Callithrix jacchus: one gene and its partners. The protein of the gene in region 1 interacts with the protein of each later gene in a biochemical or structural test. Links are inferred from orthologs where the notes say so. Each region holds a gene or a part of one and is shown in the gene's direction. Other genes may lie near its edges.

Region 1 (5,470 bases):
CTCACTGCTCCACCCTGGTCTGAACCACCACCTCCTGGGGCCTGAATATAGCAATAGCTCCCTAACTGGTTTTCCCTCTTCCACCTTCTCTTCCCTTAGCACAAAAGTGAAAGTATTTCTTTTCAAATCACAAATCGGATCAGGTCACTCAGCTCACAACCCTCCAGTGGCTTCCCGTCTGACTCAGCACACCCATATGACTCAGCACACAAGTTCATCTCCTTCTAGGCACACTGAGCCTTTTTGTTGGTTGCCGGCTGTACTCATAATGCTCTCTCCTTATATCCACACGAATCACTCCCTCACTTCCTTTAAGCATAAATCAAATCCCTTATCTCAGTATTGACAAGCCGAGAGCAGACTCCTCCAAAGTGAGCAGTGCAGTCATCGACCACGTTAGTTTAAATGTTGCCAACCCACACAGCCTCATCCTACTTCCCTGTTTTATTTTTTCCTCTTAGCGTTTATCATCTTCTAATATATTAAATAACTTATATATAGCTGGTCATGGGGGCTCGTGCCTGTAATACCAGCACTTTGGGAGGCCAAGGCCTGGAGGTGGGAGGCCTGACAGATCACCTGAGGCCAGGAGTTCCAGACCAGTCTCACCAAAGTGGTGAAATCCCGTTTCTACTAAAAGTACAAAAATTAGCCAGGCATGGTGGCACGCACCTGTAGTACCAGCTACTCGGGAAGCTGAAGCAGGAGAATTGCTCGAACCCAGTGAGCAGAGATCGCGCCATTGTGCTCCATCCAGCCTGAGACAGAACGAGACTCCATCTCAAAAGAATAAATAAATAAATTCATTAATTTAAAAAACTTAGATATAGCTGGGTGTGGTGGCACGCGCCTATAATCCCAGCTACTCGGGAGGCTGAGGCAGGAGAATCACTTGAACCCGGGAGGCAGAGGTTGTAGTGAGTGGAGATCATGACACTACATTCCAGCCTGCGTGACAGAGTGAGATTGTATCTCCAAATAAATAAATAAACTTAGATAAAAATTTTCAAGTGTCTACCTCGTCTGCCCCAAACACACATAGGCTAGAATATAAATTCCATGAAGAAAGGGATTATCAGTTTTATACACAGCGGTTTTCCTAGCACCTAGAACAGTGTCTGGCACATAGTGGACAATCAAAAAACATTTTTTTCTTTTCTTTCGAAAATTTTTTTTCTTCAAAAATTTCTTCAGTATTTTAGTTACGCTGTTTGTGTGTATGCATGTGTACGTGTGTGTGAGTGCGTTTGTATATGCCCAAAACAGTAACTGACAAACATAGCATCAGGAAATTGTAGGGCAGGATCTGGGAAAAGGGGAGGAACCCGAAGGTACGGACAAGCCTATACCGGACTCCCCCGAAGTGAGCAAGCAGCAAAGGCTGACAATGCCAGCTGCCTGGGCACTGACGGATCCCACCCACGGAAACGTTACCTTATGGGGAAGCTAACCCGGGCCACTCGCCGACGACCTGCGCAGGCGTGGCTTGAGAAGCGGCCCCGCTGTGGGCGGAGCCACCGGAAAGGCTCCGGTGGGGGGCGGGAACGGGAGCGGCCAGCGGGGTGCCGCCGATAGGCTGCCGCAGTGGCAGGGTGGGCTCTGCCGAGGAACCCGCCTCGCCCGGGGGCGGTGCCTGCACCTTAAGCCTCTGGGAGAGGGAAGGAGCGCTCCTCCTAGCTCCGCGTCGCGACGTCTAGATTTGCGACGCCGTCGACCCCAGGGGCGGGGCCGGAAGCGCTACGGTTTGACCCCCAGCTCTGTTCCCGAAGGGGCGGCAGTCTTTCTCCCTATCCGCTCCGCCTCCTCGCCTTCTCTCCCATTACCCGGAGGCCGAAGCTCTCAGTCAGGGCGGGGCGGCGGAGCGCGAGCTCCTAGACCCGGAAGAAGCGCCATCTCCAGCCTCCACCATGGAGCCCACCGCGCCGTCCCTTACCGAGGAGGACCTCACTGAAGTGAAGAAGGACGTGAGTAGCGACATTCTGCCCAGGGCAGGAGGGGGCGGGCTGCAGTCCAGCGGGCGAGGGAAGCGGAAACCTGGAGTCCGAGGACAAGGAGGATCCTCCAGGTCGGAGGAGCGGAAGGTCCCAGCACGGGAGGAATGCGGCGAGCCCTGCATCCGAGGGACCTGGGTAGCAGTGACCTGTTAATCTAGGTTTTACGTCGATAAACGCAGAGCTTGGGCTTTGGGAACCTTGCCCAGCGGAGCTTTGCTTCTTGCCCACTCCTCTCCCATCCCCGCATGCTTTTCCCCCACTGCGTTCTTGGAGATGCTTCTTTAGGGACTGGCGGCTCAGATTCATCCTTGAGTCTGGCCGCCTAGGCTACTATATCAGCCTAGAGCAAAGGTTGTACCAGATGAAGGATCCCGAGCAGTGGACCAAAAATGTGAAGCTCTTTTGCATAGGGGGCTGGAGGAAGCTCAACAGCTGAAAGCACAACCCGGAATTCCCCTAGTTAGCAGACACCCACATATTTAAATTGGGGTTGGGGGAGTGAATACACGTAGCTGAGAATTATCCTACAGGTAAACGTCGAAAATATTCAGTAGCTAAATTATGCTCTTCTCGGATGGTGCAGAACTACATAAACCTTCATATTGATTTGTATCGCATGGCTTTGTTGAGATATGACATTCTTTTGTGTTTAGTTACTTGTTTTGCCAGATGAGACCTATATGAGTTTCACTAAAACACTTTATATAAATTCAAATTAAAAACAAACTGAACATGAAACGTGTTCTTATTGAGCATTGCGGTACTTTTACACAGTCATTTTGGTGAACTGGACAGGATGGCAACTTTTTAAATGTTCATCCACTTCAAATCCCTTCCTCTTCCCTGTAAGGTTTATTACACTGTACTCACAATTGGTGTGACTCACCAGCAGAAGGAAACTGGATATGACTGGGACTTGTGCTTAGTTTCCTCATTCAACAGAGATTTATGGAGCACTTACTATATGGAAAGCACTGACCTTGGGTCTGGAAGGATACAAAAAATGAAGATCAGTTTCCTGCTTTATATTCTAGTTGAGATAAGAATGGCATATAAATAAACTACTGTAGAATAAATGTTGGCTTATTCATAGTGAGTACCAGTAAAACCTTGAACTTCCAGGAGCTAGGCCTCCTATGTTCCACATTCTGTGTCACAGTTTACAATGTTCCCACTTAACCTTCACAACAACCTCTAAAGAAGATAATTGCCATTCACATTTTACAGCTAATAAAACAGGAACTGAGAAATTACAAGTGGAAGGAAATAAGACCTGTATACAAATACAGTTGTAAAGACTGGCTTCCAGGTCTTTGTTTTTCTGTCAGTTCATTGATGTTATCCATCTTCAGGATTTCATTTTATGCTTATATCAGAATTGCATAACCTTGAAATGATGGATGGATTTCAAAAGGTCTATGAAAAAAACTATGTGCATGCTTTCTTCTTAGAGATTTTTTTCATGATATTTTCAAAATGTTTTCTGATCTTAGAAAGTTTTAAAATTATCATCAAAATATTTGGACCTCTCTCTCTACTCTTGGTCCTTATTTCCAAATGTCTACTGGAAATCTACTTTTATATCCTACAGATTGCTCACCTTGACAAAAATTGAACGTTTTATCATCCTTCCCCCTCAGTTGCTTGCTGTTGCTGCTGTATTGTCTGTCTCGATGAATGGTGTGCTACCACTCTTCGTCTTGGGACCGCTCACTTCTTTAGTGTCTCTTGCTGTCTGGTTATTTGCCTCATCGTGTTGGTTGGATTTAGTCCAATTTAATAAATATGGATTACATGCTACTGTGAGGCTGATACTGTGGTTGGTTCTACAATTTAAAAAATTAAAAACTAAGACAATCCTAACTTGAAAAGAGTTCAGTTTCTTGAGGGGGATCATTTTAAATCCCAAAAATAAGTGCAGTGAGTTTTGCATTCATCTGAAGCATTATCTACTTGGTGCTCTGGGTTAAGTACAGGATAGACAGTGTTGCTTAAAACATACCTCTTTGCTGCCTGCTTCAAACAGAGATGTTAGAGTTGAAAACAAATAAATGTATTTTTACATTTATTTGTTTTCATTATATAAATGAAAACAAAATAGATTTATTTGTTTTCATTATGGCGGTTATTATGAGGGAATCAAACAGTGCCAAGACAGTAATAGGGGAAATCGACTTGAGATAGGATGGTCAGGAGAGGTCACATTTAAACTGATTCCTGAAGAATTTGACAGAACTGAGGGAAGAGCGTTCTAGGCAGCATAGAATTTGCCAAGGACCTAAAACAATCAAGACCTTGGTGACTTGGAGAAATCGGAGGAAGGCAGAGAGGATAATCTGAAATGCAGTTAGGAAGGTGGGCTAGAGCCATTTTCATGAAGAGCTTTTTAGTAAAGTGTTTGGGTTTCTTTTCCCCAAAGTATAGTAGGGACTCGTTGAAGAATTGTATTTTTTAAATTCCCTCTGCCTGTTTCATGGACTGAGGAGAGCAAGAATAAGAGCAGGGAAACCATTGAGCAGGCTCCTGGAATCTATGTGGATGAAAGATGATGGTGATTTGGATCAGGGTGAAGGCAGTGGAGATGGATGAGCCAGGAGAATTCCAGATGCATTTTTGAAATAGATAAGATAGGACATGGTGATGGACTGGACGTGAGAAATGGGGAAGAGGATGTTTAAAAGTGAAGTGTTAGCTTGAAAATAGGGTAAAAAAAAAAAAAAGAAAGTGTTTATTCACACAGGAACCGATCACCTAGCCTACTTTCCCGCCATCATATTCTAGGATATTTCTAAGACCTTCCATTACCTTTGTCATCATCACTAGCATATATTGATCCCTTACTCTGTACCAAGCACTTTTTTAAGCACTTTGCATATATTAATTTATTCATTCCTCATATAACAGTCAGCTGAAGAAACAAGTACAGAAAAGTTAATTACTTGCCCAAGATCCTGTGTCTAGTAAATAGAGGAATTAAAGTATAATCATTGGTATCAAATTATTAATGCCATTTATTGAGATCAACGTGGATTTTCTACTAATCAAGCTGTCAGGTACTTCTCAAGTCTAGGTTTGCTTTTTTGGTGTCCTTTTTCTTTATTTCTTCCATTTTTTCCAACAGTCACTATTCCTTTAGGTTTCTCTCCCCACACATCTTTCCATCTCCGTTCCTCCAAGACTGATTCACTGAGTTAGAGTGTAGTCTTTCCAGCTGACCCCAAAGACAGATACGTTATGGGCCCTTTCCATTTAGGGATTTGTTTTTGTTTTTAACAGTTTTACTCTAAGGAAATAGAGTAATTAATGACAAACATGAGAAAGTTACAGACTGTGAAGCCTCTCACTTCTAAGTTATTGGTCCTAAGTTATTAGGACTAAGTTATTGGTCCTAATTCTGGATTCCTTGCTAACTGATAAGTAAAATGTACAGTAGTCTTTGCCCTCATCTTTACCTCCAAAGATGGCCCTCCACAGAC
Region 2 (5,291 bases), on another chromosome or scaffold:
TTCCAGAATAGGCAAAACCAACCCATTGTGACAGAAATCAGACCAGAGGTTGCCTGGAGCAGGAGGCAGACTGGCTGGAAATGGGCACCCAGGAACTTTCTGGGTAGATGATAATGGCCTTTATTGTGATGAGGAGCATAGCCAATTGTAAAGGTAAGATTTATGTACTGCTATGTGCACCAACAAAAAGACAGCGAGAAAACCAGCAATGGAGTGGAGGCTGGGGAGTGGGTCAGAAATGACCCTTTGGGGGCCAGCAACTGTGAGCAGCCTCCCTGGGTGCAGAGCATATTCTGTTTCTTGATCTAGGAGCAGCTTCTGCGGCTCTGCTGATTTTGTGTTCTTCATGACATAGACTTCTTTTGAGAGGGAGTCTCGCTCTGTTACCCAGGCTGGAGTGCACTGGTGCAATCTTAGCTCACTGTAATCTCCCACCTCCTGGGTTCAAGCAATTCTCCTGCCTTAGCCTCCTGAGTAGCTGGGACTCCAGGCATCTGATACAGAGCCTGAGTAATTATTGTATTTTTAGTAGAGATGGGTTTCCCCCAGATGGGTTAGCCAGGCTGGTCTCAAACTCCTGACTTCAGGTGATCTGCCTGCCTTGGCCTCCCAAAGGGCTGGGATTATAGGTGTGAGCCACTGCACCTGGGCGTGACATATATTTCAGTAAAACATGATAAAAAGTAATAGACAGTCTAGGCATTGTAGCTCACGCCTGTAATCCCAGCACTTTGGAAGACCAGGGCAGGTGGATCACGACGTCAAGAGATCAAAACAATCCTGGCCAACCTGGTAAAACGCTGTTTCTACTAAAAATACAAAAAATAAGCTGGGCATGGTGGTGCATGCCTGTAGTCCCAGCTACTCGGGAGGCTGAGGCAGGAGAATCACTTGAACCTGGGAGGCAGAGGTTGTGGTGAGCCAAGACCACGCCATTGCACTCCAGCCTGGGTGACAGAGCGAGACTCCATCTCACACACACAGATGAAAACAAAAGACATGCTCTTCAAAGCGATCAGACACTGCAATCATGGATGGGTCCGTTTCTATGAACCATTATAGAATGGAGGCCATGCCACCAGGACACATGCCCCCATGAAACAGGCAGTTAGGAAGCCACCGGGGGCTTCCAGGTGGGAAATTGCTATGGTGTGCATCCCTTGTGTGCTCTGCTTCTGCCCCTCCTTGGGTGAGCTCGGTGCAGGGCTTCAGGTGGGAGCTGCAGGCAGACTGCTCCTGAGTTTCTTCCCGGCCCAGTTACAAGTGTCTGTGGGTCATCTCCAGGCTGCACTGGGACCTCAGCATCCCCACAGTGGGCTGTTCCCAAACCAGGGTTGCCTGTGTTGGTATCGGGGGGCTCCTAGCCACCTGCCATTTATCTCTTGAGCACTCTGGAGTGGGGCTCTCCTGTAACTGCCACATGAAAGTTTTATAAATGGTCTCTTTGCCCCCCAGATGCTGCAGTGACCGTCTTGAAAATAAAGTTCCAGCCCTGCCACCAGCTGGTCTTGGACCACCCATGAGACCTTCTCACCCATCACTACCCGACATGAAGCCCAGTGCAGCCCTCCTAGCATCCAACTTGCTGCTCCCTGAAGCCACAAGGACCTCTTGCTTCTGCATCCTTCCAAGTCCACCTCAGACGACCCCTCACCCTGGGGTAGGAGTTCCTCCACTCTGCTCCTCACAGCACCCTGCCATCAGACTGGGGAGGGGAACACTGGCCATGGCACATCAACTCAGGGTTGTCCCCGCACACAGAAAGGGCCAGCTCGCTGGGAACTAACTTGTCCCTGAATGAAACGGTAATAACCACAGCCTGCAAATACCTCTAAGCCTCACTCAAAGCAGGTCATGTTTGCTCATGACCAAATTCTGGTAGATCAGGAGGCATTGGGACAGACTACAGGAAGGTACTGTTGGCAGGGGACTGGTCTGCTGAGTCACAGCGGCCCCACGCTCCAGGCTGTTTGTTCCTGCTGCTCCCTTTGGGATTAACTGGAGATTGAACCTGTTCGCCTTGTTCCAGCTCAGCCCCTGCAACCGACTGTCTGCTGGGATCCGAGTCACCTGAGAGAAGTGAGTCGAGGTAAGACAGAGGATGGCGTGGGTGGGGGAAGGCCAGGCAGCTCTTTCCCATGGTGACGAGGAGCTAAGCTGAGCTGAGCCGAGCAGAGCCAGACTGAGCTGCTCTCCTCAGGGCTCAGGGCTAGCCCTGCCCTCCCAGCTGGCTGCAGCGCTCTAGTGGGACTTTCTGGAGGGACAAGTACAGGAAGACATGGGAAAACCTGACAGCTTAGTCAAGAGTCTACTCCTGCCATGTGGGTGGGGGCAATTCAAGGGATCCTTAGTGAGAAGCAGCTGGGAGCTTCTCATTTTCCCCACGCCCTCCTCTTTCCTGAGGACCACAGCAGGGGAGGGACCTTCTTGAGGACACAGGGTGACTTAGTAGAAGCAGGACACGATTAAGATCTCCAGCCACCAATGTCTGGCTCGGCCAGGGCAAAGGGACCTAGGCCACGACCTGTTTTATAAACCCAAATCGCTACAGCTCGTCTTGGCGTGAGGGTTTCATGGTAGAGGGCGATGCCTGCTGGAGAGCCAGCAGGGGTAGGCCACCCCATCCCCAAGGGTCGCTAGGGTCAAGGACCTGCCCAGACTCCCTGGGTGGAGCCCGAGAACCTGGGGGCTGCTGAGTTAGCTCAGTTGAAAAACCAACGAAAGGGCCTCCCTCCTAAACCCAGGGGCTCATGAGTCACCGGGTCTTTGGGAGAGTGCCAACATCATCATGACACAGCAAGAATCTTATCGGACCAACGGAGAAGTCAGCCCAGAAATGTTCCGAGGAAAGGGAGGGGTGGGGGCCGCTGAACGCCCAGCAAGCCCATGGCCCTTGTGATCCAGGTGGGGAATCTGAGGCCCAGACAGGTGAGGAACCCGTAGACTCTCAGTCCCAGTCTCTTCCCCTCACTCCCTGGTAGGGGTGGGAGTCCTGAGAAGGTGGGAAGTGGCCCACTTGGTAACTCTGAGCCGTCATCAGGGCCCCCAGGAAGGAAGCTGGGTGTGTGCGCAAGTGTTGCGTAAGCTGGCCAGGAGGAGGAAGGGACAGATGAAGGCCACGTGGGTACAGCCTGCCCCAGGGTGTCCCGCTTCCCTGGCTGTGGGTCTGCCAGCCACTTGCCTGCTTGCAGTTTCTAGGTCACGCCAAGCTAGTTCCCAACTCAGGGCTTCAGGCATTTGCTCTTCCTTTTGTGTGGGTGCTCCTCAGCCTGCCCCGGCAGGCTTGCTCTCCAGGCCCTCCTTGTGGGATCTATGCGCTCTGGGGGGCTGGGAACACAGGGCCCACATGTATCTTCTGCTTACTTGCTGTGGTTCCCTGGCCACCACAGCACATAGGTCCCATGAGGAGGGCAGGGACTGGCTACTGTGGCCCAGAAGTGCCCGATCACTCTCTTCTAAATGAATGGAAAATGGGCTATTTTCCTGGAGCAACAGATTCTAGGATTGGGTGCCCCCAAGTGCATCGAGTGAGGCATCGGGCACGGAAGGAGCCTGGGAGTGGGAGCTGCTCCAGGTGCTGCCTGAGCACGCCACCCCCACCCGCAGCAGGAAGAGGAAGAAACCAACCACAAGGCCCTTCAGAGAGAGGACCCCTTGTCCTCTACCCACAGTGCTGGAGCTGGCACCGTCAGAGCAGAGGAGAGCAAAGGGGAACCCTACTGATTTCAATGAAACAAAGTTGCCCAATACCAAGCTGGCCACAAGTGAAGAAAGTGAAATGACACAATCAGCTTGGAAAACCCTAAGGACCCTGGGCACTTGTTTCAAAAGCTGTCATTTGCTACATGAAATGCTGACAGTCAGAGAAAGGAAAACACTTGCTCCAAGTCACACAACAAGTTTGGATGCTCAGTGAGGTTGTCTAATGAGAGCTGAAGGCCTGGAGTCATAAGCCATCATTGTGGCCTGGGCTGCTGTGTTGTAGTGTCCTTGTGACAGCATGGGGTGGAGACAGGGAAAGGAGAAAGCATCCTCAGTTACCTTCTCCTCTAGTCTGCTTCTTGCACTAAGGGCTTAATGGTCAGAGTCCTAGGTGGTAAGGTTTGTGACTGATGCAGGTATGGCTCTTTTAATTTTTTTTGACATGGAATCTCATTCATTCTGTTGCGCAGGCTGGATCACTGCAACCTCTGCCTCCCAGGTTCAAGCAATTCTCCTGCCTCACCTTTCTGAGTAGCTGGGATTACAGGCAGGCGCCACCATGCCTGGCTAATTTTTGTATTTTTAGTAGAGACAGGGTTTTGCCATGCTGACTAAGCTAGTCTCAAACTCTTGACCTCAGGTGATTGCCCGCCTTGGTCTCCCAAAGTGTTGGGACTACAGCTGTGAGTCACAGGGCCTGGCCAGGTATGGCTCTTCTGAGAGGACTAGGCTGGGGCTGAAGGCAAGCCCAATCCACTGTGGGCTCCACCTGGGTACCTCTCCTGGGTCTCAGGCATATGGGGAGTCAGAGGACAGTGCTTGGGGTGGCCCTTCCTTACTTCTCCCTCGGCTGCCTCCTCATTCCTTTTCTAAGTTCTGATCAGAAGTACAAAGGTGTCAAGGAGCAGGTTTGCAAAGTGTGACACTGCATTGTTGTACGTGAACAAAGAACCACTAAGCTCATCCAGCACTCAGGGACGCGTGATGAGGAAGAGCTCATTAGTTTTGAGAGAGCTCTTGCTCAAGGTTATAAGATACTTTTTTTTTTGAACTGGAGTTCTGCGCTTGTCACCCAGACTGGAGTGGAATGGTGAAATCTTGGCTCATGGCGAAACCTCTGCCTCAGCCTCCTGAGTAGCAGGGATTACAGGTGCTTGCCACCACGCCTGGTTAATTTTTTGTATTTTTAGTAGAGATGGGGTTTCACTGTGTTGACCAGGCTGGTCTTGAACTCTTGACCTCAAGTGATCCTCCCACAGTGCTGGGATTACAGGCGTGAGCCACCGTGCCCGGCCTGGTTACAAGGTAAATGAATGGCAAAAATGGTCATACGGTAGTGAGCAGATTGAGTGCATCCACGATTAAAAGTGAAAACTGAAACGTATAATTTGAGATGAAGCTCTTGTTTCAACAGCCCCTGCAGTCTCACTGCCCCATGTGACATAGGTGAGGGTGCTCCAGTCTGGGTGATGGCTCTATTAGAACCGCCCCTTCCAGGCCGGGCACTTTGGGAGGCCAAGGCGGGTGTATCACGAGGTCAGGAGATCGAGACCATCCTGGTCAACATGGTGAAACCCTGTCTTTACTAA
Region 3 (4,744 bases), on another chromosome or scaffold:
TCATAATCTATGAAATAAAGCAGTCTGGGCCTCCCTGCTGGTGGCATTGAGATAGACAGATTAAGCAAAGAGAAAGTAATGTGCCTTGGGCATCTTCAGTATGCCAGGCAGCACACCAGAAGCTTTAAGTACTTCATCTTACATGACTCCTCCGCCCTGTTAGAAGCCTATTTTATGCAAAAGGAAACTGTACCTGGGGGTAAGTAACTTGCCCAGGGGTCACACAACTGGAAAGTGGTGGACTGAGAGGCAAACGTAGCCATTCTGACTCCACAGTCCACATTCCTTTGAGCCAGTCCATTGAGAGTCCTCAGGGAGTGTGGAGGGACCCTAGCCTTGCCCGGACAGATCTTGCATCTCAGAATGCTCCTACCACATCAGTTGACATTAGCACAGCTTTTCCATTAGGAGAATGAAGTGAAACTCCTGGTGGAGCGGATGATGGCGCTGCAGACCGACATTGTGGACTTGCAGAGGAGCCCCATGGGCCGGAAGCAGGGGGGGACACTGGATGACCTGTGAGTATCAGCTGGGGGGTCTCACTGTGCCCAGCACACACAGACACCCCTGGAGCTTCTGTGTGTGTTGAGGGAACCCTCAGTGGCTATGTGGGACCATTATCCTCTAGAGCATGCTACCCTGTGGGGTTGTCTCCAGCAAATCATCACTAAGCCTCAGTTTCCAAATCTGTTCAGTGGCAAGAAAAGCAGTCTGACCTCACGAATGTGTAACGATTAATTCAGATGATGCATTTGAGAGGTAGTCCGTAATCTGTAAGGCTGTGAAATGCAAGCAGCCTCTACGCCTGTATCAGACTCCCCTGATTTGCCACACCCTGATTTGCCACACCCTGATGCAGGCATAGCTCAGAGCAGAAAGTAAGAGAGAGAAGGAAGAACCCGATGAGGCTTAGGAGTTTGGACCTGGAAACCGTTCGTTTGAGTCTCTGTCAGGTATTTGGCATTGGCTCCAGGAGGGGAGGACCGTTCTGGGAAGATCATTCTTACCTGAATATCATGTGTATGTGGTCCTGGTGTGCAGATGGAAGGAACCAGGCAGCCTGGGTCAGCCTGTCAAGGGCTGTGTCACTGTGAGCTCAGCAGTGTTCCCTGATTAGGATTCTTAGGACAGGAGCTCTGAATGTCAGAACTTTGATTCTGTATTTTCTCTATTTACTTAACCCTTTATTCTCCTCTAGTTATTATTTTTTTTTTAAGAGACAGGGTCTCGCTCTGTTGCCCAGGCTGGAATGCAGTGGCACAATATTAGCTCACTGTAGCCTCAGCCTCCTGGGCTCCAGCAGCCCTCCCATCTCAGCCTCCCAAATAACTGGGACTATAGGCACATCCCACCATGCTCAGCACATTTAAAACAAATTTTTTTTTGGCCAGGCCCAGTGGCTCACACCTGTAATCCCAGCACTTTGGGAGGCCAAGGCAAGAGGATTGCTTGAACCTAGAAATTCGAGACCAGCCTGGGCAACATGGTGAAACTCTATCTCTACCAAGAAAATATAAAAATTAGCCATATTTTACCTCAAATCTAGACAGAACTTCTTTGTATATTTTAGAGAGGAGCAAGCAAGGGAGCTCTACAGGAGACTAAGAGAAAAGCCACGAGGTAAGTGGGGTTCTGTGTCTGCCTTGGGCTTCTCACTATCTCATTTTTGGGGCATCGCTACTCTCTGCTGGCTTCCTTGAGGAACTATGCTACCCTCCCTCTCTCCAGACCAGCGAACTGAGGGTGACAGTCAGGAAATGGTGCGGCTGCTGCTTCAGGCAATTCAGAGCTTTGAGAAGAAAGTGCGAGTGATCTATACACAGCTCAGGTATGAGCCCCAACCTTCCTGCTCTGGAGGAAGGACTGGGAGATGTAGGCTGGGTGCGAGGTCCCCTTCCTCCCTCTGCTCTGATTTGGTGGACCTCGTGAAGCGACTTTCTGCAGCTGCTGACCAGATGCACAGTTGCCACGGCTTCTGCTTTCCCCAGTCCAAATGCCATTAGAGTTTGTCGTGTTTATTCTTTGCAGTAAAACTGTGGTTTGCAAGCAGAAGGCACTGGAACTGCTGCCCAAGGTGGAAGAGGTGATGAGCTTGATGAATGAGGATGAGAAGACTGTTGTCCGGCTGCAGGAGAAGCGGCAGAAGGAGCTCTGGAATCTCCTGAAGATCGCTTGTGTGAGTGAGCGCTGTGGCCCTAGGCCCTTGGCCTGCCAGCCGCCTGTGCCTTTCTGCCTCTGTGCACTGCCGCTATCCCACACGGGACACCACAGAGCCATCATTAGCCCACTCAGCTGCTGCTCAGTTTTCATGTCACTGTTTTTTGACTTGGCGTGAGCAGGGAGGTCAGAGTAAAGGCCTGTGCTAATCATTTTCATTTATCTGTGTATTGCTTTCCTATGGCTACTGTAAAGATGATCACAGACTGAAAGGCGAAAACAACAGAAATTTGGGCCAGGCATGGTGGCTCAGGCCTGTAACCCCAGCAGTTTGGGGAGGCTGAGGTCAGAGGATCGCTTGAGCCCAGGAGTTAAAGGCTGCTGTGAGCTGTGATCATGCTGCTACATTCCAACCTGGGCAACAGAACAAACCCTGTCTCTACTAAAAACAAAAACAAATGTGTTATCTGAGCTCTAGAGCCCAGAAGTTGAAAGTACCATGTCAGCAGGGCTGAGCTGTCTCTGAGGGCCCTCAGGGTGGGACTGTCCTTGCCTCTCCAGCTCCCGGTGGCTCCAGGCATTCTTTGGTGTGTGACTGCATCACTCCAGTCTCTGTCTCTGTCTTCATGTGACCTGTGTCCCTCATCTGGGTATCTCTTATAAGAACACTTGTCATTGGATTTGGGTCCCACCCAAATAGTCCAGGGTGATGTCATCTCGGGATCCTTAATTTCTTTTTTTTTTTTTTTTTTTGAGATGGAGTCTTGCTCTGTCACCCAGACTGGAGTGTAGTGGTGCAGTCTCAGCTCACTGCAACCTCTGCCTCCTGGGTTCAAGTGATTCTCCTGCCCCAGCCTCCTGAGTAACTGGGATTACAGGCGCCCACCACCACACCCAGCTAATTTTTGTATTTGTAGTAGAGATGGGGTTTCACCATGTTGGCCAGGCTTATCTCAAACTCCTGACCTTGTGATCCGCCCACCTCAGCCTCCCAGAGTGCTGGGATTACAGGCATGAGCCACCATGCCCGGCCGGGATCTCTAATTTAATTACGTCTCTAAAGACGCTTTCTGCAAGTATGGTCACTCTCACAAGAGTTCCAGTAGTTGGGATGTGGCATATTCTTAGGGCCACCCATTCAGCCCACCGTCATGTTCAGCAGTGCGACTTAGTTGCCCATTGCCTCCATCCGTGCTGCCGTCAGTGCAGTAACCCAGGCTTTCTGTACACACCATCTTAACATAGCTGTGAGTCCATGGAATGTCACATGGGGGGAAAAAGTGAAACAAAACAGCCATGAACTGAGATGGGAGAAGTGCCAGGGCTGGCCACGTCATGGGAGCCAGAGCTGCTGGGAGTGGGAGCCCTATTGTGAAAGGCTGCAGAGAAGGTGACATGGATGGAAGCGTGACTTAGGCATCATTTGCCTTTAAAAGCTAAGGGCCAGTTTCTACAATGAGGATAAAGAAATAAAATTTTTTTAAAAAAGAGCAAAGGGAAGGAAAGGGAGATGGTTGTTCATGGTGGAAGCAGGAGGTGGCGCCCTAAGAGATTGTCATTGTCAAAGGCGGAGGGCATGACACACACAGTGCAGAGAACAGAGGGACTGGGGTCACATGCCAGAGCGCTGGGGAAGCCTTGGGACCATGAGCGACATACCTTCCTGTAAGAAGAGAGGAAAAGGAGAAAGCAGGATAATGCCATAGAGAGGATCTGAAGAGGAGAGGGAGGTGCACGTATTCACAAGTGATACCTGATGTGTCCTTTACATCCATTGGGCATTTATTAAATGCTGACTGTATGTCCAGCAAGACACACCAGGGAGAAGGCATGGCACCTGTTCCCAGGAGGGCCTGATCCTTTGAGGGGCACAGATGGGCATAAGCGAGAGCTGCTCAGGGTGGGAAGGGCTGGCAAGCAGCTCCAGGAGGCATGAGCTGCAGTTTCTGTGTGCAGGGGGAGCTCCAGCTTTTCTTAGAAAAGAGGGAACAATAAGAAAGTTCATAAGGAGCTGTCCAGTTGAAGAGTGAGGATGTTCCAGGACAGAGATGTTGCTTTATCAAAGGCAGAGAGCCTGGGGAATCCGTGTGTTCTAAGTGGGGACAGGCTGGTGTGTGGGGGGAGGCTGCGATGGAGAATGAAGCTGCTGAAGAAGACAAGGGCAAGCTTATGAGGGCCATGCTTTGTTTTGTCATGCAGACTGGAGTGCAGTGGCACGATCTCAGCTCCCTGCAACCTCCGCCTCCTGTGTTCAAGTGGTTCTCCTGCCTTAGCTTCCCAAGTAGCTGGGATTACAGGTGCCCACCAACACACCCAGCTAATTTTTGTATAACGTTTTCTTCCTTTTTTGAGACAAAGTCTTGCTCCATCTCCCAGGTGGAATGCAGCTGCACAATCTCAGTTCACTGCAACCTCCACCTCCTGGGTTCAAGTGATTCTCCTGTCTCGGCCTCCCAAATAGCTAGGACTATAGGCTCATGCCACCACACCCAGCTAATTTTTGTATTTTTAGTGGAGATGGGGTTTTACCATGTTGGCCAGGATGGTCTCAAACTCCTGCCCTCAAGAAGTCTGCCTGCCCTGGCCT
Region 4 (4,389 bases), on another chromosome or scaffold:
CCTTGGTGGCCAGGCTGGGTGGAGGAAGAGCAAGCAGCCACACACTAAGGCCTCCGACAGCTCAAAGGGTAAGGACAGTGCCCACCTCCTGGCACCCTCATGGCAGGACCTTCCTGGCTGGGTGCCTGAGTCGCTGAGAAGCTCTGTGCAGGGGGTGACAGCGATGGCCAAGAGCTGGGGTGGGCAGTGTGGCCAGGTCCAGTCCCTGGCAGAGGGGCCTAACAGGACATCTCGCTTCTCTTCCGAAGCTCTCGCTCCCCCAGGACCTGGAGGAGGACACCCAGCTCTCAGACAAAGGTGAGGAGGTGATGGCTGTGCACCCGGAGGCCTCCCAGCTGCCCCAAGCGAGGCCCATCTTCAGTGCAGGCAGCCGTGCGTGACACACGCCTGTCTCGGCCTCTACCACCCTCACTCCACAGATGGGGAAGCTGGGGCTGGGGGATAAGTAAAATGGACATGGCACCCAGAGAACAGACCAGAGTCCAGTTGGAACCCAGGGCCCTGGTTGGTGGGACAAGTGTTCCCTGTGGTGGGGAGTGTGGTGCCCCTTAGGGCAGCCCCCACGGTGCAGAGTCCTGCCTGCTCCAAGCTTCCTCTTGGGCAGAGAGAGGTGGCAATGAGCAAATGCCCAGGTGCACGAGGCTAGGGGTGAGAAAGAAAGTAGGGTGAGACGGGACTCCCTGGGGCTTGAGGGACAGGGCCCAATGAAGGGGTGGCCAAGGGCCTGCTGTGTCCCGGGGCCATGGGGCGGGGCAGTGTCGGGGGCTTCTAGCGGTGGGGCAGGACCCCTCTGCCTGTCTGGAGAAGGACTGGGGTTGCTAGCTGGGAGCAGCCTGAGTGCCCAGAGTGGGCCGTGGTTATGGGGTAGGTGTTTGCTCTGAATGTGGTATCAGGCAGGGGTCGGGGAGGGCCCGGGGGAGGGGCCCTGGGAGGCTGCATGGGAGTCGGACAAGCTTCTTGAGCACCAGGCTGTGGCCTTCGAGCTGAGGCGGAAAGGGAAGATGGAGTTGCAGATGGAGAAGTGAAGACCAGCACCTTTGGCCGCAGCCCAGAACAGTTGAACGTGGGGATGCTGAGCCCCCACGTGGGCAGAGGCGAGCAGGACCCAGGAGTCCAGCTCAGGCACTACTTCCATCCCCTGGGGTGGCTGTGGCAGAAGCCCCAGGGGGCAGGTGTGAAGGTCAGAGGGTGAGCAGGGGAGGATACTGGCTCTAAGGAGGGGCTGCCAGCCACCAGGATGGCCCAGGTCTGGCCCTCCCTGGGGCATAGCTGAGACTGGACGTACGTGGTTTCTGCCCAAGGATCCTGATCCCTGGTCTGCCCAGGTTCTGGCAGGTTTTGAGGGGTCCAGCCACCTGAAGGTTTTCTCCCAATTGCCGCAGTACCCCAGCCCCCCCTCGGGAGGGCCAGGACAGCCAACGTGGCATCCCCAACCCTCTCCCCAGGGCTGACATGCCCACAAATGCTTTGGAGTGATGGGGGGCAGTGCAGCTCAGGCCCCACCCAGGCTTAAGCTCCCCTGAGGTCTGCGAGGCCTTCCTGCCTGGGGGGCAGCCAGCTCTCCGACAAAGGTAGGAGGTGGCAGCTGTGCACCCAGAGGCCTCTAGGCTGCCCTGAGCAAGGCCCATCTTCAGCACAGGCAGCCCATGACATGTGCCTGTCTCTGTTTCCACCACCCACACTCCACAGATCTGGAAGCTGGGGCTGGGGGATAAGTAAAATGGCCAAGGTCACCCAGAGAACAGACCACAGAGACCAGGTGGAACCTGGGGCCCCAGTTGGCAGGACAAGTGTCCCCTGGGGTGGGGAGGGAGAGGCAGTCACTGGTGGGAGTGCTGGGCCTGGGTTGCTGTCCAGCGGCCTCCTGGGGCAATGAACAGGCAACCTACAGAATGCAGTCTCCACTGGACCCACGTGGGGGTCCCACCAGGCCTTGGAAGACAGCCCCACAGGGTGTCAGCAATGCCGAGGAGGGGTGTGGCAGCCTGGCTGTGCGTGGCCCTGCAGGTGGGGTGGGCAGACCCCGCAGGAATGACTCTCCTTTCCAGGCGGCCTGGCCGGCGGTGGGAGCCGGGAGCAGCCCTTTGCAACTCTGCACCAGGAGCAGCTTTCACTGATTCCCCATGTAAGGCTGTCTCAGGATGGGCTCCCCCAGCTGGGGGCCTCAGGGTGACTGATCACAGGGAGGGTGGCTCCTCACCCTGGGCACCCCCTGCAGTGGTCCCAAAGGCTGAGGGGTGACCGACCACAAGGTCTCTGTCCTCAGTGCTTGGGGTGCAGTGTCTGGGATGTGAAGGGGACCACCCTCCTTTCTCGGGCACTGCAGCAGCTAGTGGAGGCTTGGAGGTGGATGCACCGGGTCCTGGTTTCTTGGGGGCCTTTACAGCAGATGCAGCATCAATCCTGAGTAAACTGGCACAGGAGCCCTGACAGCAAGGGCTGCCTCAGGCTTTGTTGTAGAAACGAAGGCCTGGAGCCCAGGCTGGAGCTGTGGCTTGGCCTCCTGGGTGTGTCCTGGCATCTGAAAGGCAGAATGCCCACACTGGCTCCCCTCCTGGGGTACAGGCAGGTCCCCCGGGGCAGACTTGGCCCTGAGCTGGGCTGAGGCTGTCTGGGCTCCCTGCTTCCCCACCAGTCTTCAGTTTCAGGGGCCAGTGGGGGGTGCGTGACAAGGGTGGGGTCCTTCGGGGTGCCGGCAAGAGCCTTCCCCTTCTCCAGGACGCAGGCCTGAGCAGCGGGGAGCCCCCAGAGAAGGAGCGGCGGCGCCTCAAGGAGAGTTTTGAGAACTACCGCAGGTAGGCAGGTGGCCCCCAACCTCCTCCAAAGTGGACTGGGGAGGGGTAGCCGGGTTTGCGCCTGAGACCCCTGTGTCTTCGCAGGAAGCGTGCCCTCAGGAAGATGCAGAACGGCTGGCGGCAGGGGGAGGCGGACCGGGAGAACACCACGGGCAGCGACAACACCGACACCGAGGGCTCCTAGCCACAGCAGCACGGGCCCGGCCCAGGGCACGCCTACCGGCCCTGCCACCCACGGGTGCCGACGCCCTGGGCTTGGAACCAGGAGTCTGGTGCCCTGAAAGCCCCAGCCCGGCCCCCGAACGTTGGGGTGTTCTGTTAAGCGACCTTCAGCTTGCGGAGCCCACGCGGGTGCTCGCCACCCCGTGCAGACGCATTTGCGTAATGTCAGGGTCTGTTCTATTTCACTATGTAACACACGATACATGCATGCATTGTATAAGTGTTAGAAAACGCGGCTACGTAAATAAATAACACGGGTGACCCGAATTCCCGCTCCCACGCTCGGGAGCAGCCCTACGACCGTCCCTCCTCGCTGCGGACCCGCGATGTCCTGGGGTGCGGGCAGCACGTGGGCGCAGAGCCCCCACCAAGCTGCCAGGGGGCGGCAGATCGCAGCGCGCCCCAGCCCGGAGGCCCAGATAGGCCGCTTCCGCCCGGTGCCCGCTTCCAAGATGGCGGGGGGGCGGGGCGGGCTGAGTCCGCGGGCGGGATGCTGCGGGCGGCGCTGGGCAGCACGCCGAGGCTGCTGTACCGCGTGCAGCCCCGGGAGTCCTGCCTGAGGCTGCTGTGGGGCCGCGGGGCCCGCACGGAGGTCGCAAGAAGGCGGCGGGCCTTGACCTGGGGCTGGCGGCGCTCAAGCTCCGAGCCTGGGCCGGGGCCCGAGGCGGTGCTGGGACGCGTGGAGGTGGCGCACTACCAGCTCGTCTACACTTGCAAGGTGGGCACACGGCGGGACGGAGCCGGGGCCAGACTCACACCTGGCCCTAGACGGCCTGCGGGGAGAAGCAGCCCGGTGCGGGGAGGTCTTCCGGGGGGGTGGGGTCAAGTCACAAGAAGGGGTGGAGCCATCCCTTGGGGTCTGGTGGGTGTGAGGCCTTCTGGGAGGGAGCGGGGTCGGACCACGAGAAGGGTTGAAGCTATCCCTGGTGCGGGGCCTTCCCAGGAGATGGTGAGGCTGGGGTGGGTGGAGCTATCACTAGGGAGAGGGGCCTTCCCTGGAGAGCGTGAGGTGGGTGGAGCTATCCCTCGAGGGGCAGGTCTTCCGGAGAGAGGGTGTGGGATGGGTGGAGCTATCTCTCAGGGGCGGGGCCTTCCCCGGAATGGGTGAGGCGGGTGGAGCTACCCCTCGAGGGGCAGGTCTTCCCGAGAGAGCGTGTGGAGTGGGTGGAGCTATTCCTCAGAGGCGGGGCCTCAGAGATTTTGAGGTGGGTGGAGCTATCCCTCGATGGGCGGGTCTTCCCGAGAGAGTGTGGGGTGGGTGGAGCTATCTCAGGGGAGGGGCCTCCCCCGGAGAAGGTGAGGTGGGTGGAGTTACCCCTCGAGGGGTGGGTCTTCCTGGGAGGGGCGTGGCGGTGCTCACAGCCTCACCAGC
Region 5 (3,606 bases), on another chromosome or scaffold:
AGGACGGCATGGCGCTTCCTCAAAAATTAGAAATAGAAGACCACAGGATCCATCAACCCACCTGCGGGCATATCCCCAAGGGAACTGAAAGCAGAGTCTCTAAGAGATATTTCCACGCCGGCATTCACACCAGCGTCACTCCCAATAGCCAAAACCTGGAAGTCACCTAAGGGTCCATCAGCGGGGAGTGAATACACACAATGGGGCCCGTCCACACAGGTTAGGAAGGTGTTAAGAGCTGAAAACCTTGCAAACTGTTAACCAAAAAGACTTGAAATAAAGAAATCATAATACATGTTAATATAAGAGAAATTATAGCCTGGTACATGCCTATAGTCCCCCTTCCCCATCCGTCCTGCCTGGAAATGTGTTTGTGGTGCAGAGTGTACTGCACCAAAAATGCTGTATGATTTTTTGGGTGGTTTTTTTTTTTTTTTTTGAGATGGAGTCTTGCTCTGTTGCCTAGGCTGGAGTACAGTGGTGCCATCTCAGCTCACTGCAGCCTCCGCTTCCCGGGTTCAAGTGATTCTCCTGTCTCAGCCTCCCAAGTAGCTGGGATAACAGGTGCCTGCCACCATGCCTGGCTAATTTGTGTATTTTTACTAGAGATGGGGTTTCACCATGTTGCCCGGGCTGGTCTCGAACTCCTGACTTCAAGTTATCCTCCCCCTCAGCCTCCCAGAGTGCTAGCATTATAGATGTGAGCCACCATGCCCAGCCCATACAGTGGAATATTATTCAGCCTTCAAAAGGAAGGAGATTCTGACACCCACGTCAACATGGGTGAACCTTGAGGACGTTATTCCGTCAAATAAGCCAATCACAAAAACACACGTGCTGTATCCGATTCCACTTATATAAGGTCTCTAGAGCAGTCAGATTCCTGGAGACAGGAAGTAGAAGGGTGGTTCCCAGAGACTGCGGGAGGGAAGATGGGGCGTGAGTATTTTATTGGTCCAGAGTTGCAGTTTGGGAAGATGAGGAAGTCTGGAGATGGTTGCACAGCAGTGTATACCTAATGCTACACAGAACATACCTAATGCTACTAAATTCTTCACTGAAAGAATAAGTAAAACGGTCGATTTTATTTTATGCATATCTTAGCACAATTAGAAATTAAAAGGATGTAGCCGGGCGCAGTGGCTCATGCCTGTAATCCCAAATTTGGGAGGCCGAGGCGGGTGAATCATTTGAGGTCAGTAGTTCGAGACCAGCCTGGCAACATGATGAAACCCCATCTCTACTAAAAATACAAAACTTAGCCAGGCATGGTGGTGCGTGCCTATAGTCCCAGGTACTCAGGAGGCTGAGGCAGGACAATTGCTTGGACCTGGGAGACGGAGGTTGCAGTGAGCTGAGATCACGCCACTGCACTCCAGCCTGGGCAACAGAGCAAGACTCCATCTCAAAATAAAAATAAAAATAAAAAGAATGGGTTTGGAATTTCCAGTGAACAGCATGAAGGGGCATGGTCCCTAGCATTAAGAGTCACAAATGATATAAGGGAGAAGCAAGGCAGGAAAGGAATGGGGGCTGCGGCAGTGAGGGCTGGCCAGGCAGGTGGTGCCACACCAGTGCCACGACAGCCACCCCACAGCCCCTGCACATCTCCTCCCAGAAAGCTGCTGCCCCGGCCTGAGACGGAGGAGGAGTTCCTGCGCATGTGCCGGCTGAAGGAGAAGGAGCTGGAGGCCCTGCCGTGCCTATACGCCACGGTGGAACCTGACATGTGGGGCAGCGTGGAGGAGCTGCTCCGCATGGTCAAAGACAAGATTGGCGAGGAGCAGCGCAAGACCATCTGGGTGGATGAGGACCAGCTGTGAGGCGGGCAGCCCTGGCAGAGATGCTGTGGGCATGGGTCATCCTGTGAGGCAGGCACCCCAGGCAGAGAGATGCAGCAGGTGCAGGGGCATCCTGCAGCCCACAGAGCTGCCCTGGCGGATGCTCTGCCCCTCGCAGTGATGGAGCCTGGGGGGACAGACGCGCCCGGGGAGGAGCAGGGCACAGTCCATTCCCCCAGCCCCAGCTGACCTGGCCCAGCGGTTTGTCCCTGCTGGCCTTCACAGGGAGACAGGGCTGAGCAAAGGACACCAAGCCAGAGCCCCGGGGCCAGCCGGCCTCTGGAGAACCAGAGCAGCAGTTGAATGTAATGTGTGGGATGAGTGTGCTGCCACCAGTAGAGCAGGGACCCTGATAGCCAGGCGTCCACCAGTCCTGGGGACACACTCACCCTAAACACACTCCCAGGCAGGACAGATCGGGGAAGTGGGTGTGTACCAGGCTATGATTTCTCTTGCATTAAAATATATTATTATTTCTTTGTTTCGACCCTTTTTCTTTGTTAACAGCTTGCAAGGGTTTCAGCTGTTGCCACCTTCCTAACCTGAAAACCACGCCCAGCAAGCTTAGCTGGGGACTCAGGCCCCATGTTCCTGTGTAGGGTGAAGGTAGGGTGACCACACACCCCAGGGTCCCAGGACAGGCCTCATTTATCCCTGGAATTAGGGTGACACTTGCTAATCGTACCCCATGGACTCAAATGCATCCTGATTTGGAAGATCAATAAATTGTCTTATCACCTTGGGAAGGGCCCATCCTCTCACAGACCCTGGGGACCCTTGTGGTCTGTACCTGGCCTGCCCTGTAACTCCAGCCCTGAGGCCAGGCCCCCATCACTCAGCTCTTCCCTGCACGTCACTACCCCTGCCACAGTACATTCAATGTCCCTAGAGGGCAGCCCGACTTCCTCCTGCAGGTCAAGAGCAAGCATGTGGGGTACGGCCCTCTGGGGGGTTCATATCTCACTGCCCAGGAGTTTGGGGGGCGCAGGAAAGCCATTCCCACTCCCCAGCAGGTAGCAAAGGCCCTAGGAGTTCTAGAACCATTCTTCTCCTTCGCCCTCTTGTTGCAAACTTGCCTGGTATGGACCCAATAGACACAGCCAAACCAGGCCAGGTTGCACCCTTGGCAGAGCACCACGGGGCATGTGCAGGAAGCTGCTGGGTGGCAGGCTCGGATTCAAACCCAGGCCTCTCTGTCTGTGGGAACTCTGGGAGCAACTGCTCGCTGACAACCTAGTACTCAGACTTCCTTCCTTCCTAAGAGCATCCTGACTTATCCTGAGAATCTACATGTACAACTCAAAGACCATATGTCCCAGCCTCCCTTGCAATCAGGGAAATGTAAGGGGAGGTTTGGGGAGAGAGAAATGGTGCTTCCTCCAGTTTTCTGCTGGGATGCAGACACAATGGCTGGAGCACCAGCAGTATTCTTGCATCTTGAGGTGACCATGAGGATGGAAACCCCACTCGGAGGATGGTAGAGACAGAAAGGGAGAAGGAACCACAGTCACTAATGACACTTGGGGGCCTAAGACTACTCCTTGGGTTTCTTTTACATGAGACAGAAAGAAATTTGTATCTTATGTTAAATGACTGTTATTTCAATTCTCTGTTCCTTGCAGCCAAGAGCAATTCCTAACAGATACGGGGAAAAACTTTATTCTTGTTTCAAATACCATGGGCATAGGTTGATCCTCTGCTAGGTTTTCCCACCCAGACAAGGTATGAATTATTAATAAAAGGACTCTATTAATAAAGATCTCTT

Evidence for each region.
Region 2: the proteins of BCL10 (region 1) and IKBKG form a complex in vitro, tested with the Homo sapiens proteins (3 studies listed by BioGRID). The link is inferred for Callithrix jacchus from reciprocal best matches to the Homo sapiens genes BCL10 and IKBKG.
Region 3: the proteins of BCL10 (region 1) and IKBKB form a complex in vitro, tested with the Homo sapiens proteins (2 studies listed by BioGRID, with this or other methods). The link is inferred for Callithrix jacchus from reciprocal best matches to the Homo sapiens genes BCL10 and IKBKB.
Region 4: the proteins of BCL10 (region 1) and CARD9 form a complex in vitro, tested with the Homo sapiens proteins (2 studies listed by BioGRID). The link is inferred for Callithrix jacchus from reciprocal best matches to the Homo sapiens genes BCL10 and CARD9.
Region 5: the proteins of BCL10 (region 1) and CARD11 form a complex in vitro, tested with the Homo sapiens proteins (2 studies listed by BioGRID, with this or other methods). The link is inferred for Callithrix jacchus from reciprocal best matches to the Homo sapiens genes BCL10 and CARD11.

What each region holds. Positions count from the first base shown.
Region 1 is NC_133508.1:122,509,315-122,514,784, reverse strand, and holds the start of BCL10 (B-cell lymphoma/leukemia 10), read left to right. Parts: upstream 1-1,841; 5' UTR 1,842-1,907; coding exon 1,908-1,964; intron 1,965-5,470. UniProt on the Homo sapiens protein: Plays a key role in both adaptive and innate immune signaling by bridging CARD domain-containing proteins to immune activation.
Region 2 is NC_133524.1:150,333,096-150,338,386, forward strand, and holds the start of IKBKG (NF-kappa-B essential modulator), read left to right. Parts: upstream 1-1,990; 5' UTR 1,991-2,089; intron 2,090-5,291. UniProt on the Homo sapiens protein: Regulatory subunit of the IKK core complex which phosphorylates inhibitors of NF-kappa-B thus leading to the dissociation of the inhibitor/NF-kappa-B complex and ultimately the degradation of the inhibitor.
Region 3 is NC_133514.1:44,089,609-44,094,352, reverse strand, and holds part of IKBKB (inhibitor of nuclear factor kappa-B kinase subunit beta), read left to right. Parts: intron 1-408; coding exon 409-518; intron 519-1,570; coding exon 1,571-1,620; intron 1,621-1,728; coding exon 1,729-1,828; intron 1,829-2,028; coding exon 2,029-2,176; intron 2,177-4,744.
Region 4 is NC_133502.1:184,837,187-184,841,575, reverse strand, and holds the end of CARD9 (caspase recruitment domain-containing protein 9), read left to right. Parts: intron 1-248; coding exon 249-297; intron 298-2,048; coding exon 2,049-2,125; intron 2,126-2,718; coding exon 2,719-2,795; intron 2,796-2,879; coding exon 2,880-2,979; 3' UTR 2,980-3,284; downstream 3,285-4,389. Other genes in the region: DNLZ (DNL-type zinc finger protein), read left to right, coding at 3,508-3,735. UniProt on the Homo sapiens protein: Adapter protein that plays a key role in innate immune response against fungi by forming signaling complexes downstream of C-type lectin receptors.
Region 5 is NC_133503.1:19,485,191-19,488,796, forward strand, and holds the end of CARD11 (caspase recruitment domain-containing protein 11), read left to right. Parts: intron 1-1,618; coding exon 1,619-1,823; 3' UTR 1,824-2,318; downstream 2,319-3,606. UniProt on the Homo sapiens protein: Adapter protein that plays a key role in adaptive immune response by transducing the activation of NF-kappa-B downstream of T-cell receptor (TCR) and B-cell receptor (BCR) engagement.